Stegostoma tigrinum: one gene and its partner. The protein of the gene in region 2 purifies or fractionates together with the protein of the main gene of each other region. This does not show direct contact. Links are inferred from orthologs where the notes say so. Each region holds a gene or a part of one and is shown on either strand. Other genes may lie near its edges.

Region 1 (7,411 bases), on a different chromosome or scaffold from region 2:
CTACATATATGAACTTTCAAAAATGTTTGATGAAGAATCACATCACAGACTTGCCAATAAAACTGAAGGCACGAGATTATGTGGATAATGACTGTGTGGACACAAAGTTGTTTGACATAGAAATCAGCGTCATGGTCAAATTTCATTTTTCAGATGGAGGTTTGGAGTGGTGTGTCTCAGGAACACTGATCTTGAATCGTGGGTGAAGGTAGCATAATTTCAGAATCTACAACTGACATAAAACTTGGAAATGTAATAATTAGTGAGAGAAACTTCAAGGCTGCATAAAATTAGTGGAAAGCTAGACAAGGCAATGCGTGAAAGAATGCTTTTTTTTGTTGTTCAAAGAATAAGGAGAATGAAGCGCAAAATTTTAAAGGGCCACTGAAACAGAGAGATGTGAGGGTTCACATAAAACATTTAATATGGTGGCAGGACAAGTTGAAAAATTTGTTAAAAAAATGTATTCGGATCACCGGCTTTATCAAAGTGACAGATTATCGAAGCAAGGAAGTTTGTACGAACCCTCTGAAAAATCACTGGTTCAGCCTCAGCTGGAATCGTGCTTTTAATTCTAAATTCATCAAAATATTGAATGCAAAAGTCGTGGAGAAGATAAAACAGGGAATTTACTAGAATGGTATCGGGGATGAGGTACTTCAGTTTTATGGAGAGACTAACGATGGTAGAATTGCTCATCTTACAGCAGAAAAGGTTAAGAGGAGATTTAACAGATGGACTAGGGATCTGCCCTTGCGGCCTACCCATAATCAAAAAAACAACAGTACTTTGCCATTCTTCACCAAATATTTTCCGAGGGCCTGCTTCAGGCAGAAATTTGAGGAGGAAGAGGTTTGGAACATTGCACATTTGCAGTTATGAAATATCAAGTCAAGAGACATTACAAGTTTAAATCAGATTTCACTTAACAGTGAGGGTGACTTAGGAGACTGGAGATGGAAATAAGTGTGTTTGGCAAAGGCTGAGATTGAAATGAGGATGCAAAATAATGACAAATATTTTCAACTCAAACAGTTATTCTATGCTTCCTTATACTGAAAATCCTTCCAGTTACCAATATATTTCCAGCCTCCAAAATACCTGACCTTATTAACTGATAATGTGCTAAAACAGTAAAATATACTACTGTTTGAGGAAATCTGGTTTCAAGATCAACCACCGGCTATGATGGCCAGTGAGGGTCATAACATGTCCAAACAGTTTTTGTAATACCAAAATGCTTACAAAGGAGGAGTCTCAATAACGGGTCGTAATCAAAAGTTTAAGCCATCTTCCAAGCCCCAGAGGGGCACAACATCATAGACATCAAAGTTACACTGCACAAAAACAGGCCCTTCAGCCCACCTTGTCCATGCTGAGCTGGTTTCCAAAACTGGACTAGTCCCATTGGCCATTCATGTACCAAAGATCTTTTAAATGTTCTAACTGTACTCACCTCTACCACAGGAACTGATCAGATGCTTCCCAAAAATGGCAGGACAGTCAGTAACTGGAGGGTACAAACTTAAAACAGTTGGCAAAAGCACCCTCTGGGGCTGGGGGTGGGGGCGAAGGAATTTTTTAAAAAATATATTGCCAAAATAAATATTACAACTTTTCAAAATGTCTTCAGCTACCACTTCCATCTTGAAGTGACTTCTCCTTCTCCAATCTACACTAGAGGTACCAGCATTTCCCAATCTCTGTGCTGGAACACCTCCTGCTGATCCTCCAGCTTTGTCAGCCTACCCACCTGCTTGCCATCTTAAATGTACAGTGAGCATGCAACAACAAAACTAGAAATTGCTGGAGTAACTTAGCATGTCTGGCAGATTCTGTGGAGAGGAAACAGAGTCAATGTTTCAGGTCAACATTTTTGTTTTAGTTTCAGATTTCCAACACCCACAGTTCTTGATTTCATTTCAATGAACATGCACTCTTGGCCAGCTCATCAAAAATCAGATTATAACATCAGACAACGTAAATCAATGCTGAATCATAGCCTGGAAGTTCATTCAACATTTAGGTCCTGAACCCAGAACAAGCATTCAACCAATAATCACAGGAGGGTGGTGGAATAATGGCAATGTCACTAGACTAGAACCCAGGCCGATGCTCAAACTTGGCGATAAAAGCTAATTTCACAACTCCACTGTTGTAAAAACAAACCTCATCTGGTTCACTAGGTGCGCTTTAGGGAAGAAAATCTGCAGTCATTATTCTGGCCTACATGACACTCCAGAAGATGGCTGATGCTCCAGTTAGCCACAAAGATCAACGACAATGTTCATGCCAGCAATACCGCATCCCATGAAATAAAGGGAACAATCACCGCTAAGTAATCAAGCAATAACCAAATGTGAAGAGTTACGGCACCGTTCTCTAAACTGTATGAATTAACAATGAAGCTGAGTAGTTGGACCATTAAATTGCTCGGTTTTAGTGCGAGAAAGCATTAAATTTTCAGCAATCGCGAACAAAATATTGCAAATGACAGTTTTCTCAATTAATGGTAAAATCCAAAGAGAGGATGAATTAAAACAATGCTTCAGAAAGGTTGCTTTCGACAGTAGATACAGCAAAGCAATAACCAAGTGCCGATGAAGTAAAACAAATCGCACATCAAAGATAATAAAATTACAGCGGATCGCGGGGCCGACCTTTCCTTCAATCAATGTACTGTCATGTGTGTCAGCTTCTGTCACTCCAGTCTTTCCAGATTAAAGTGGCTAGGCCGTTTTTAAATCCCCGGCCTCGAGTAACACGCGACAGGGAACCCGGCTTTCGAATGGTCAGTAAGAGCAAGCGCGATCCTGTACCTGGGGAATGTACCTCTGCCCCGTCTTCGACTCAACGCAAAGAGTACAAAGACAGCTGCCGCTCCGAGCGCAGAGTGTTTGGCTGTCACTAATTTGCTGAAAGCCGCCATTGCAGCACTAACAGCGGTAACGGCGGAGGAACCGGGACAGCGGCGCGAGCGCTGCCGGGACAAGCGTCACTCCAAATGTCAATCATCGTCTGCTAAGCGACCGCAGTTCAGGGCACGGTCAACGCTGAAGGGACTTTCACCTGAACGCAAGTTCTGGGCAAGACGTCACCTAAAGAATTTGCACCTATTCGTCGATTATTCCTTTTAATTCATAACCTTTGCACTGCTAAATCTGAGCATGGGATGCAGTATCCATTTTGCCAATGCATTTAAATCCCGAGTTCTTATTCTCAGATTTATCAACAAAGCTGAAAGACATACTGTGTGTGTGTGTGTGCGCGCGCAAGATAACAAAGTGTGGAGCTGGATGAACACAGCAGGCCAAGCAGCGTTTCAGGCCTAGACACTTCGTCAGAAAAAGGGGATGGGAGAGAGGGGGAGGCGGACCGAAGATGGAGAGAGGAGAAGATAGGTGGAGAGGAGAGTATAGGTGGGGAGGTAGGGAGGGGATAGGTCAGTCCAGGGAAGATGGACAGGTCAAGGAGGTGGGATGAGGTTAGTGGGTAGGAGATGGAGGTGCGGCTTGAGGTGGGAGGAGGAGATAGGTGAGAGGAAGAACAGGTTAGGGAGGTGGGGACGAGCTGGGCTGGTTTTGGGATGCAGTGGGGAGAGGGGAGATTTTGAAGCTTGTGAAATCCACATTAATACCGTTGGGCTGCAGGGTTCCCAAGCGGAATATGAGTTGCTGTTCCTGCAACCTTCGGGTGGCATCATTGTGGCACTGCAGGAGGCCCATGATGGACATGTCGTCTGAGGAATGTGAGGGGGAGTTGAAATGGTTCGTGACTGGGAGGTGCAGTTGTTTATTGCGAACCGAGCGGAGGTGTTCTGCAAAGCGGTCCCCAAGCCTCTGCTTGGTTTCCCCAGTGTAGAGGGAGCCACAACGGGTGCAGCAAATGCAGTATACCACATTGGCAGATGTGCAGGTGAATATCTGCTTGATGTGGAAAGTCATCTTGGGGCCTGGGATGGGGGTGAGGGAGGAGGTGTGGGGGCAATTGTAACACTTCCTGCGGTTACAGGGGAAAGTGCCGGGTGTGGTGGGGTTGGAGGGGTGTGTGGAGCGGACAAGGGAGTCCCGGAGAGAGTGGTTTTTCCGGAAGGCAGACAAAGGTGGGGATGGAAAAATTTCTTGGGTGGTGGGGTCGGATTGTAGATGGCGGAAGTGTCGGAGGATGATGCATTGTATCTGGAAGTTGGTGGGATGGTATGTGAGGACAAAGGGGGATTCTCTTTTGGTGGTTATTGCGGGGACGAGGTGTGAGGGATGAGTTGCGGGAAATGCGGGAGACACGGTCGAGGATGTTCTCGATCACTGCGGGGGGGAAGTTGCGGTCCATGAAGAATGAGGACATCTGGGATGTATGGGAGTGGAATGCCTCATCCTGGGAGCAGACAAGGCGGAGGCGAAGGAATTGGGAACTGGCCCTAAACCCCACCTCTTCCTCCATTACATTGATGACTGTATTGGCGCCGCCTCGTGCTCCCAAGAGGAGCTCGAATAGTTCATCCACTTCACCAACACCTTCCACCCCAACCTCAAGTTCACCTGGACCATCTCCAACACATCCTTCACCTTCCTGGACCTCTCTGTCTCCATCTCAGGCAACCACCTAGAAACCGATATCCATTTCAAGCCCACCGATTCCCACAGCTACTTAGAATACACCTCCTTCCACCCACCATCCTGCAAAAATTCCATCCCCTTTTCCCAATTCCTTCCCCTCCAACCCCACCACACCCGGCACTTTCCCCTGCAACCACAGGAAGTGCTACACTTGCCCCCATATCTCCACCCTCACTCCCATCCCAGGCCCCAAGATGACTTTCCACATCAAGCAGATGTTCACCTGCACATCTGCCAATGTAGTATACTGTATCCACTGTACCCGTTGTCACTTCCTCTACATTGGGGAAACCAAGCGGAGGTTTGGGGACTGCTTTGCAGAACACCTATACACCCAGTCGCGAACCATTTCAACTCTTGTTCCCATTCCTTAGATGACGTGTCCATCATGGGCCTCCTCCACAATGATGCCACCCGAAGGTTGCAGGAACAGCAACTTAATAGTCTGCTTGGGAACCCTGCAGCCCAATGGTATTAAAGTGGATTTCACAAGCTTCCAAATCACCCCTCCCCCCACTGCATCCCAAAACCAGCCCAGCTCGTCCCCACCTCCCTAACCTGTTCTTCCTCTCACCTATCCCCTCCTCCCACCTCAAGCTGCACCTCCACTTCCTACCTACTAACCTCATCCCGCCCCCTTGACCTTTCCCCTCCCTACCTCCCCACACATACTCTCCTCGCCATCTATCTTCTCCTCTATTCACCTTCGATCTCCTGAGTTGCTGCTTGGCCTGCTGTGTTCATCCAGCTCCACACTTTGTTATCTCGGATTCTCCAGCATCTGCAGTTCCCATTATCTCTGATACAATTTCCTCCAAGACATGTCTGTCAAGTACAAAGGTCATGACAATCTCACATCAGCTATCATGGACAGTGAACATCGTCAGAACGCCCTGATCAAGACTGCTGACATGGGGCCTTCACTCTGAGCAAAGGAAACATTTTAGAGACAATGCCGAAAGCCTCCATGAAAATGGGCTCTATCAACTTCGGCAGATGGGAAGCTGATGATTTATTATCAATTCCAATTATCAAGAGAAAACACAAAACGAACATCGAGAGCCGTAGAAAATAAAGAGGATAGCTGTTAATCTTAATAATTCATCCTCCATCAGACTGCAATCAATGCAGTCAACAAAAACACACCCCAGTGAGGAGGACAAGTTTTCTCCCTAGCAGAAATTGACTGACGCATATAGTGACTAAATTTCAGAGGAAGTGCATCCACCTCAAATTGGAGAAGCTAATCCTTCTATTTTTTGTCTTTGATCCCAGCTGAAAGGATCTTTGTGCGTGAGAGATAGTGGGAACTGCAGATGCTGGAGATTCCAAGATAATAAAATGTGAGGCTGGATGAACACAGCAGGCCAAGCAGCATCTCTGATGAAGGGTCTAGGCCCGAAACGTCAGCTTTTGTGCTCCTGAGATGCTGCTTGGCCTGCTGTGTTCATCCAGCCTCACATTTTATTATCTTAGGATCTTTGTGCGTCTTCATTTTCAACTCTAAGGGTACAAAATTAAAAAGGCAATTTTTTTTCGGTCCAGCAGAGGGCAACAGCAAAGGAGAGGCATCACTTCACATATATTAGAGTCTGGAAGCAGACACCAGCAGTGATCCTTAACTCCCACATCCTTACAAGTGGAACAGGCAACTGCCCCAGCCTCCAATCCCTGTACGCGAGATTTCCAAAGGAAGAATAAAAAAAAGTCTTAACTTACCAAACCTCCACACAGTCTTTTTTGGTAGAGGAGGAGGTCAGGTGGGAGACACTACACGTGTAGTGTTTCGGGTTTAGCCAATGCCCAAATTTACGTGTTTCTTCCTAGCTCGCGTTCCCTCCACACACCCGCCGCTGAAAACAAGAGGGCCGCTTGCTGCATGAGGTAAGTTTTTATACAGGGTGAAACAAAAACTACCTTCCTTTCCTGTCAGCACTCTGGCTTGCGCTGAAAACAAGAGGGAATTAGAATGTACGAAGTTGGATAAATCTCGTGGTCCTGACCAGATATATCCAAGAACCCTGCAAGAGACAAGCGAAGAAATTGTGGGGTTCCCGGCTGATATATTTGCATCGTTGTTAGGCACAAATGAAGCAGAGAAGGTTGTGCTCTTATTCAAGAAGAGCTGCAAAGAAAAACCTGGGAATTATAGATCAGTAAGCTTATCATCTGTGGTAGGGAGATACTTGAGACAGTTCTGAGGGATAAGATATAAATGCATTTGGAAAGGCAGGGTTTACTTAGGAGTAGTCAGCAAGTCTTTGAGCATGGGAGATCATGCCTCACAAATTTCTTAGAGTTCTTTGATGAAGTGACCAGGAAGGTTGATGATGGCAGGACAGTAGACGTCTATATGGATTCATTAAGGCCTTTAATAATGTTCCACATGTTTGGCTACTCTGGAAGGCTAGATTACTTGGAATCCAGGTAGAGCTAGCAAATTGGATACACAATTGGCTTGGTGGTAGGAAGTAGAGAGTAATACTGGAAGGAAGCTTGTCTAACTGGAGGCCTGTGACTAGTAGTGTGACTCAGGCATCGGTGCTGGGCCCATTGCTGTTTGTTATCTATATCGATGATTTGAATGAGAATGTACAAGGCTTGATTAGTAAGTTTGCAGGTGACACCAAAATAGACAGTGTCCTGGACAGTGAGGAAGGTTATCAGAAATTGCAGCAGCATCTTGATCAGCTGGGGTAGTAGACCGGGAAATGGCAAATGAAGTTTAATGTAGATAAGTGTGAGGTGTTGCATTTTGGAAAGTCAAATCCAGATAGGAGTTTCATGGTGAAGGG
Region 2 (7,096 bases):
TTCTGCCCTGCAGAACTCAGCTCTTCCTAACTCGATTCAATTTTTTTCTCCCCTTGTTCATTCCCTTCTCACTTAAATCTACAATTTCTCTGATATTTTACATTAGTTTCAAAATTTCTAGTTTGTGGGCTCCTCTCTACCATGGAGATGCAATCCTTTATATGTCCATTCCCCATCAGGGTGGTCACCAGATTCTCCACTTCTTTCTGGAAAAAAGGGATGAACTGTCCCCATTCACCACCACCCTCCTCCACCATCTTCACTCTGCACAACTTCTCAAACTCCTCTTACTTTTTTCAGGTCAGAAGAGTTGCCATAGGTACCCTCATGGGCCCTGGGTATGCCTGTTTCTTTGTAAGGTATGTGGAACATTCCTGGTTCCAGTCAAATCCCAGCCCCCAACCACAATTCTTTCTCTAGAATATTGATGATACCATTGGTGCTGCTCCCCTCTTTCATCCAGAATTGGAATAGTTTATCAATTTTGCTTCCAATTTCCACCCAGCCCTCACCTTCTCCCGGACCATCTCAGACTATGAGATAACAAAGCGTAGTGGCGGATGAACGTAGCAGGCCAAGCAGCAGAGGAGCAGGACACCAGCTCTACACCTTGTCCTGTGATGCTGCTTAGCCTGCTGTGTTCATCCAGCTCTACACCTTGTTATCTCAGATTCTGCAGCACTGGCAGTTCCTATTACCACATCTCAGACTATTTCTACTTTTGGGGAATTGGCTGTCAACATCTATGATAAACCGACCAACCCACACAGTTACTTTGACTATACACCCTGCATCCTATAAAGACTATTCCATTCTCCCAGTTCCTCCATCACATCTGTTCTGAACATGTCAAATTCAACAAGGGGATAGCCATGTTCTTCCTCAACCGAGGATTCCCCAGCACGGTAGCTGACAGGGCCCTCTGCCAGGTTTGACCTATCTCCCAAACGTCAGCCCTCACCCTTCTCTTTCCTACCACAACTGTGATTAGGGTCACCCCATTCACCCACCTACTATCCCAACAACATCTATATCCATTTGTGCCACCTCCAGTGGGATGCCAACAGCAGACATATTCCAATCCCCTCCATTTCAGCCTCCTGCAAAGACCATTCCTTCTGGGACACACTCGTCCACTCCCCCTTCATGCCAAACACTTCCCCACAGCCCCATGGCACCTGCCCCAGCAACCTGAGAAGGTGTAACATCTGCCCATTTATTTCCTCCCTCCTCAGTATCCAAGGACCCAAATATACCTTCCAGGTGAAGCAGTGCTTTATCCACATTTCACTTAATCTAGTCTACTACATTCACCGCTCACAATGTGGTCTTCTCTAATTTGGGGAAACAAAGGGTTGACTGGGTGATTGCTTCAGAGAACACTTACGAGCTGTCCACAAAAAAAAGACCTTGAGCTTCTGGTTGGCTGCCATTTCAATATACCACCTGTACCACCTTGTTACCTGGCCAACATCTTGGTCTCAGGCTTGTTGAAGCAAAGCTCAACATAAGCTGGAAGTACGTTACCTCATTCTCCACTTGGGAACTCTACAGCTTTCTGGGCTCAATATCAAGATCAATTTTAGAGCGTGAGGCACCTTCTCCCATGTCCTTACCCCAACCCTCACACATCAGGCCTTGTTATCACATGGTCTACTATTACAAATAGTCCCGATTAATATCTATATCTCTTAGGATATTCATTATTCACTCCTTTGCCTGTCCAATTGTTCTTCTCTCTCCTTGGGCTCTCTCCCCACCTACTATTTACTCTTAGCCCCTCTCCCACCATACGTTCTACATGAAAACCAACTTTTTCCTAGCTATCAGTTCTGAGGAAGGGTCAATGGACCCAAAACGTTAGTGCTCATTTCTCTCTAGATGCTGCCAAGCCTGTTGAGCTTTTCCTGCAATTTCTGTTTTGTTTTTGATTTCCAGCATCCACAGTTCTTTCAGTTTTTATTTCATAATTTTGTAGATTTTTTAGGTCTGGTTAGTACAAAGGAATGCACATAAGCGATCTGAGGCCTTGCATACTTCACTAGGACAAAACATTTGTAAGTTACTTACTTGTCCACCCAAGTTTAGGAAAGTGAAAAAACCTATCATGCTAAATAAATGCAACCAAGTTCATTTTTACATCCTACAGAAAGAGACTCAGAATTTGCAGATCATCGTTTCATAGTTGCAACAGTATTTTCACGAAGAGACATCCTCATGCTCAGGCAAAAGAGCGTCAAGACAGCGTGGGAGATATGGGGAACGATCATTATTAGGCTTGGTCAAAATTAATTCAAAAATTAACCTTATTATAACCACCAATAATTACCGCTAATTAGTTACTGTTGTAAAATGAAACCAGGATATGATTTAATAACTGAAGTTGGCAAACGAAATCAGGGAACAATGTATTTCATGAATGTTACCGGATGCTTTAAAAAAGCAAATTCACCCTCCAGATAGGAAAAAACCACCCTCGGCAACTACAAAGACCATTTGCCCATGCTGCTCTCAAAAGTCGGTGTGAGTCACTTTATTACCAAGACAGTAGACTGACAGTTTCTGGTTATAGTGTTTGCACAATAATTTGTTGGAGTGGTTGCTGACTGAACTAACTAATTAGACAAACCCCGCCACAATCCACGAGCGGTTCCCACACCGACGGGACATGATTAACACACAGAATCAAGACAGACACATAAGCTGCCAATATACAGACCCAGGTATTGCACCCACCGGTCTACACTTCCTTCCCGGCAGCATGTAACTCGAACCCCCGGGCTGCGGGGTGGAAGCTCCCGAGCCTCGCTCACTCGCCCTCCCGATCCCGGACACTCGTACTACCCTCACCTGGTAAAGCATCGCCCAGTTGCCCTGTTTATCGATCTCCGCGAACTCCTGCTCCATGACTGCAAGCGCGCTGTGCCTGTCTCCTCTCCACTCTGGGCCTCACGCTAACGCTGTAAATTCCCCTTCGCGCTCCGCTCCTACCACTTCATCTCAACTCCCTCGCAGCAGGAGGGCTTCGACCACACACCGGAAACACACACCATCAACCCATGACTGGCACCAGCCCCTACCAATCAGAATACGGAACGCAGGACGGCTTTGCGTGTTGCCTAATGGGAATTGTAGTAAACTGTCCAGGAAATGACGTTTCCTACCAAATCCCAGAGGACTGTGCGGACTAGCGGCCCGAAATACATTGCTCAGTCCGAAAAGTCAGATATTGCTTCATAAAAACGGGGAATTGTTTACATTGGGTGCAGCTCCATACATCCGGGATGCTTTGCTCCTCGATGTTTATACCGCATCCACGGAGGGCTTCGCGATGCCTACTGGGAGATGTAGTTCTTCAATCTCCGATTGTATCCCACGGGCCCTGGTGGCGGGCCAGCTTGAAGATTCTGGAAAGAAAGTCCAGCCGATAATGTGTTCGGGGCTTCGTTAGAGCATAACTGTGTCTAAATCCAAACCAAACCTGAGCTCATGGCAAAGTAAAGTCTGTATGCCGGTAGGTGGATCTAACAGAATTGCCTGAGCTAAGAAACAGTAACCACAATAATGGCAAAGTGATGTTCTTGTATCATTGAACGTTGCTAATGATATGATCAAGTTCATTAATCTCTACTTTATCCATGACGTAAGTGTCCTCCAGGCTGACAGGAAGGATTTGAAAGTCTTTCAGGGTTAAAAACATTTAGTTTTAAAAGAATTATGAAACAATTTGCCAGGTAGCGGGACTGTTTGGAAAGTCCTGTTGAAGACATGAATAAATCAACAATTTTGACTGATCCCCGCGTTGTGTTTCTTTCAGAAAGTTACCCAAGATCACTTACCTGCTGCAGCGTTTCAGTGAAAGGCCAAATCAGTTATTTCTTAACGTAAGCCTAAGAAACAACATGCTTATTGGTTGCTTGGGCACTATCTTCTGCATTCAGTATGAAGTTAAAAATTTCTGGCCATAAACTCTGTATCCTCACTTTATTTCTTTTTCGTTTCAGATTTTTCTCTTTGTCGAGGAAAGGTGATCATAAATGTTAGACCTGAAACATCACTTATGTTTCTCTGTACAGTTGGTGCTTGACCTATTTCAGTTTCAATTTCTGATTTTTTTTAAGTTGCTCTTATCTCTGGAGAGGTACAAATTGAGAGAAAAGGCCACAAAATTGTGACAAGACCATTGAATTCAAATGGTCCTCTCGTCTAAACGGTGGTTCTTCTTAGGAAACTAGACAAATCATGAAAGCTTCATAAATATATTCATCATGAGATTGTTATCATTGATTGTAAGAGATTGAAAAACCAATTTAAAAAAAAAACTTGCAACTCAAAGTTGACGCCCTGAAAGTTTCTGGATATATCTTACTATATTGTTCTAATTTCCAGCTCATTTTAGTATATTATTCAACATCTCTAATCTTTTCTTAATCAGTCACAATTCAATATTTCACCCAACCCCATTCTATGGCAGAGGGACAAATTGCCCATCCCATGAAACTGAAAACTCAACATGATGTGGTTTGTGAGAAGTGTACTATTCTAATTGAACAACTAATTATCTCTTAACCATGATCATTGCATTAGAGGTTACAGAGAGAACCTCCACGGTTTCTTGCTACAAAGATTGAAAAGTATCGCATTAACAAATGATTGTATTCAACTTTAAATGTATGGAAATAAAATACAGTAATTACTGATGATGCAGCCATTTAGCACATAATCTGAATTTTGTAATTTATAGTCTGCAAGACTTATGAATAAAAGTGCAATCAAAGTAATACCATACTTTGGTGATTTGTTCATTGACCATCTTGATTTTTACCAGTGAACCTAATAACATTTTTGTAGTTAATGTGGGCCACAAAATGACTTCTGTAATACAGATGTTAAAGTTGAGATATTAACTCTCTATCCAGGCTAAGAAATCTCTGGATGAACTTCAATTTATCCATTTCCCCAGCTGTGCAGATTGGCCTACAACAGCATTTTAAATAGAAACTGTCCTGTCATCAAGAAAACTTTGATCCAATTATTTCCTAAGTATAGATCATGATAAAAATACAAATGGACAGTTAAGTGTCTTTGATCTCACCATTTTAGTTGCTGACCATTCCAGAAACAAAGGCAACTGACCTCTGAAATTCTTTGGATTTTTCAATGCTAAGAAAATCATATTAATATGTTTGATCTGTAAGTTTTTGGTCAGTTAATCAGATTTTTAGTGTAAAGTTTTTTTGTCTTTCAGACCACACTCTAAGGATTTTACAGAAATTAAAGCAAAATATGTTCATTCCTTAATTCTGGAATATGTAACCTAAGATATCCAACATTTGGTTGGAAGGGCACTTCCTGCTCTCGAGTATCATCAGTGTGCATGAAGTTAATATTTAAAATGCCAAAACGGTGACACCTTACTTCATTTCTTGAAAGAGACATTCAAAATATTAAGGAATCTCAAACCCTTCTGCTCAATGCCTCGCCTCATTGCAACTAGGCAAAGTCTCCACTGGCAAAAACAGAAATGATGACTTGGTCACCATCCAAAGGCTTGGTAAGAGTATCTATCTGGTTGGCAAGGCATAACTAGTGGGGTGGGGGGACACAGGATTCAGTGCTTGGGGCCCAACTAATCACAATCAATGTCAACAATTTGGAAGGAGGGATAGAAAATACTATGACCAAATGTATAGATGACACTGAAATAGGTGATAAAGTAAGTTCCAATGAGGAAGCTTCCAATGACCCTTCCTCACTGGACCTAAAGCGTTAACTCTGATTTTACCCTTCACAGATGCTTCCAGACCTACTGAAGTTTTCGTTAACGTTTTGGGTCCAGTGACGAAGGGTCATTGGAAGCTTCCTCATTGGAACTTACTTTATCACCTATTTCAGTGTCATCTATATGTTTGGTCATAGTATTTTCTATCCCTGCTTCCAAATTGTTGATATTGATTGAGAGTAGTTGGGCCCCAAGCACTGAATCCTGTGCCCCCCCCACCCCACTAGTTATGCCTTGCCAACCAGATAAAGATACTTTTACCAAGCCTTTAGATGATGATCAAGTGATAATATTGCGAGATTATTAATCTAGAAATTAACTGAAGTTTGGGGGCTCAGATTCGAATCCTACCACAGATTTGGAGTTTTTGAAGTATTTGGAGTTAATCTTCTGATGATCACTAAAGCCATTGTTAATTGTTGGAAGCACCTATCTGAATAACTAATGTCTAATACCCTTCAGGGAAGGAAATCTGCCATCCTCATCTGGTCTGACTTACACGTGACTCTAGAGCCATAGCAATGTGGTTGACCCTCTGAAATACTCAGTTGTATCAGTCATCATGAAGTCTCAACAAAGAATTGAAACTGAAAGGACCACCTGGCATTGACCTAGACACTGGAAAAGGCAATAGCAGAAATGTCCCTGTCAACTCTGCAAAGTCCTTCTTAATCCCAGAAATGAGCAAGCTGTCTCATACACCAGTCAAGCAATAGCCTGACATACTCATGGAATCATACTTTACAAACAACATCCCAGATACCACCAAAGCCTCCGCTTGATTTCCCCGATGTAGAGGAAGCTACACCGAGTACAATGGATACAGTATACCACATTGGCAGATGTGCAGGTGAACCTCTGCTTAATGTGGAAAGCCATCTTGGGGCCTGGGATGGGGGTGAGGGAGGAGGTGTGGGGGCAAGTGTAGCACTTCCTGCGGTCGCAGGGGAAGGTGCCGGGTGTGGTGGGGTTGGAGGGGAGTGTGGAGCGGACAAGGGAGTCACGGAGAGAGTGGTGTCTCCCGAAGGCAGACAAGGGTGGGGATGGAAAAATGTCTTGGGTGGTGGGGTCGGATTGTAGATGGCAGAAGTGTTGGAGGATGATGCGTTGTATCCGGAGGTTGGTGGGGTGCTGTGTGAGAATGAGGGGGATCCTCTTGGGGCGGTTGTGGTGGGGGCGGTACCTGTCCGGCTTCCCTGGACCGACCTATCCCCTCCCTACCTCTCCACCTATACTCTTCTCTCCACCTATCTTCTTTCCATCTTTGGTCCGCCTCCCCCTATCTCCCTATTTATTCCAGAACCCTCTCCCCAT

Evidence for each region. Proteins that work in one complex are often made in the same cells at the same time.
Region 1: the proteins of tyrosine-protein phosphatase non-receptor type 1-like (region 2) and abcd3a purify together in Homo sapiens (affinity purification with mass spectrometry; 3 studies listed by BioGRID and IntAct, with this or other methods). This does not show direct contact. The link is inferred for Stegostoma tigrinum from reciprocal best matches to the Homo sapiens genes PTPN1 and ABCD3.

What each region holds. Positions count from the first base shown.
Region 1 is NC_081361.1:84,453,333-84,460,743, forward strand, and holds the start of abcd3a (ATP-binding cassette sub-family D member 3a), read right to left. Parts: upstream 3,003-7,411; 5' UTR 2,930-3,002; coding exon 2,820-2,929; intron 1-2,819. UniProt on the Homo sapiens protein: Broad substrate specificity ATP-dependent transporter of the ATP-binding cassette (ABC) family that catalyzes the transport of long-chain fatty acids (LCFA)-CoA, dicarboxylic acids-CoA, long-branched-chain fatty acids-CoA and bile acids from the cytosol to the peroxisome lumen for beta-oxydation.
Region 2 is NC_081372.1:40,247,037-40,254,132, reverse strand, and holds the start of tyrosine-protein phosphatase non-receptor type 1-like, read right to left. Parts: upstream 3,024-7,096; 5' UTR 2,908-3,023; coding exon 2,851-2,907; intron 1-2,850. UniProt on the Homo sapiens protein: Tyrosine-protein phosphatase which acts as a regulator of endoplasmic reticulum unfolded protein response. Mediates dephosphorylation of EIF2AK3/PERK; inactivating the protein kinase activity of EIF2AK3/PERK.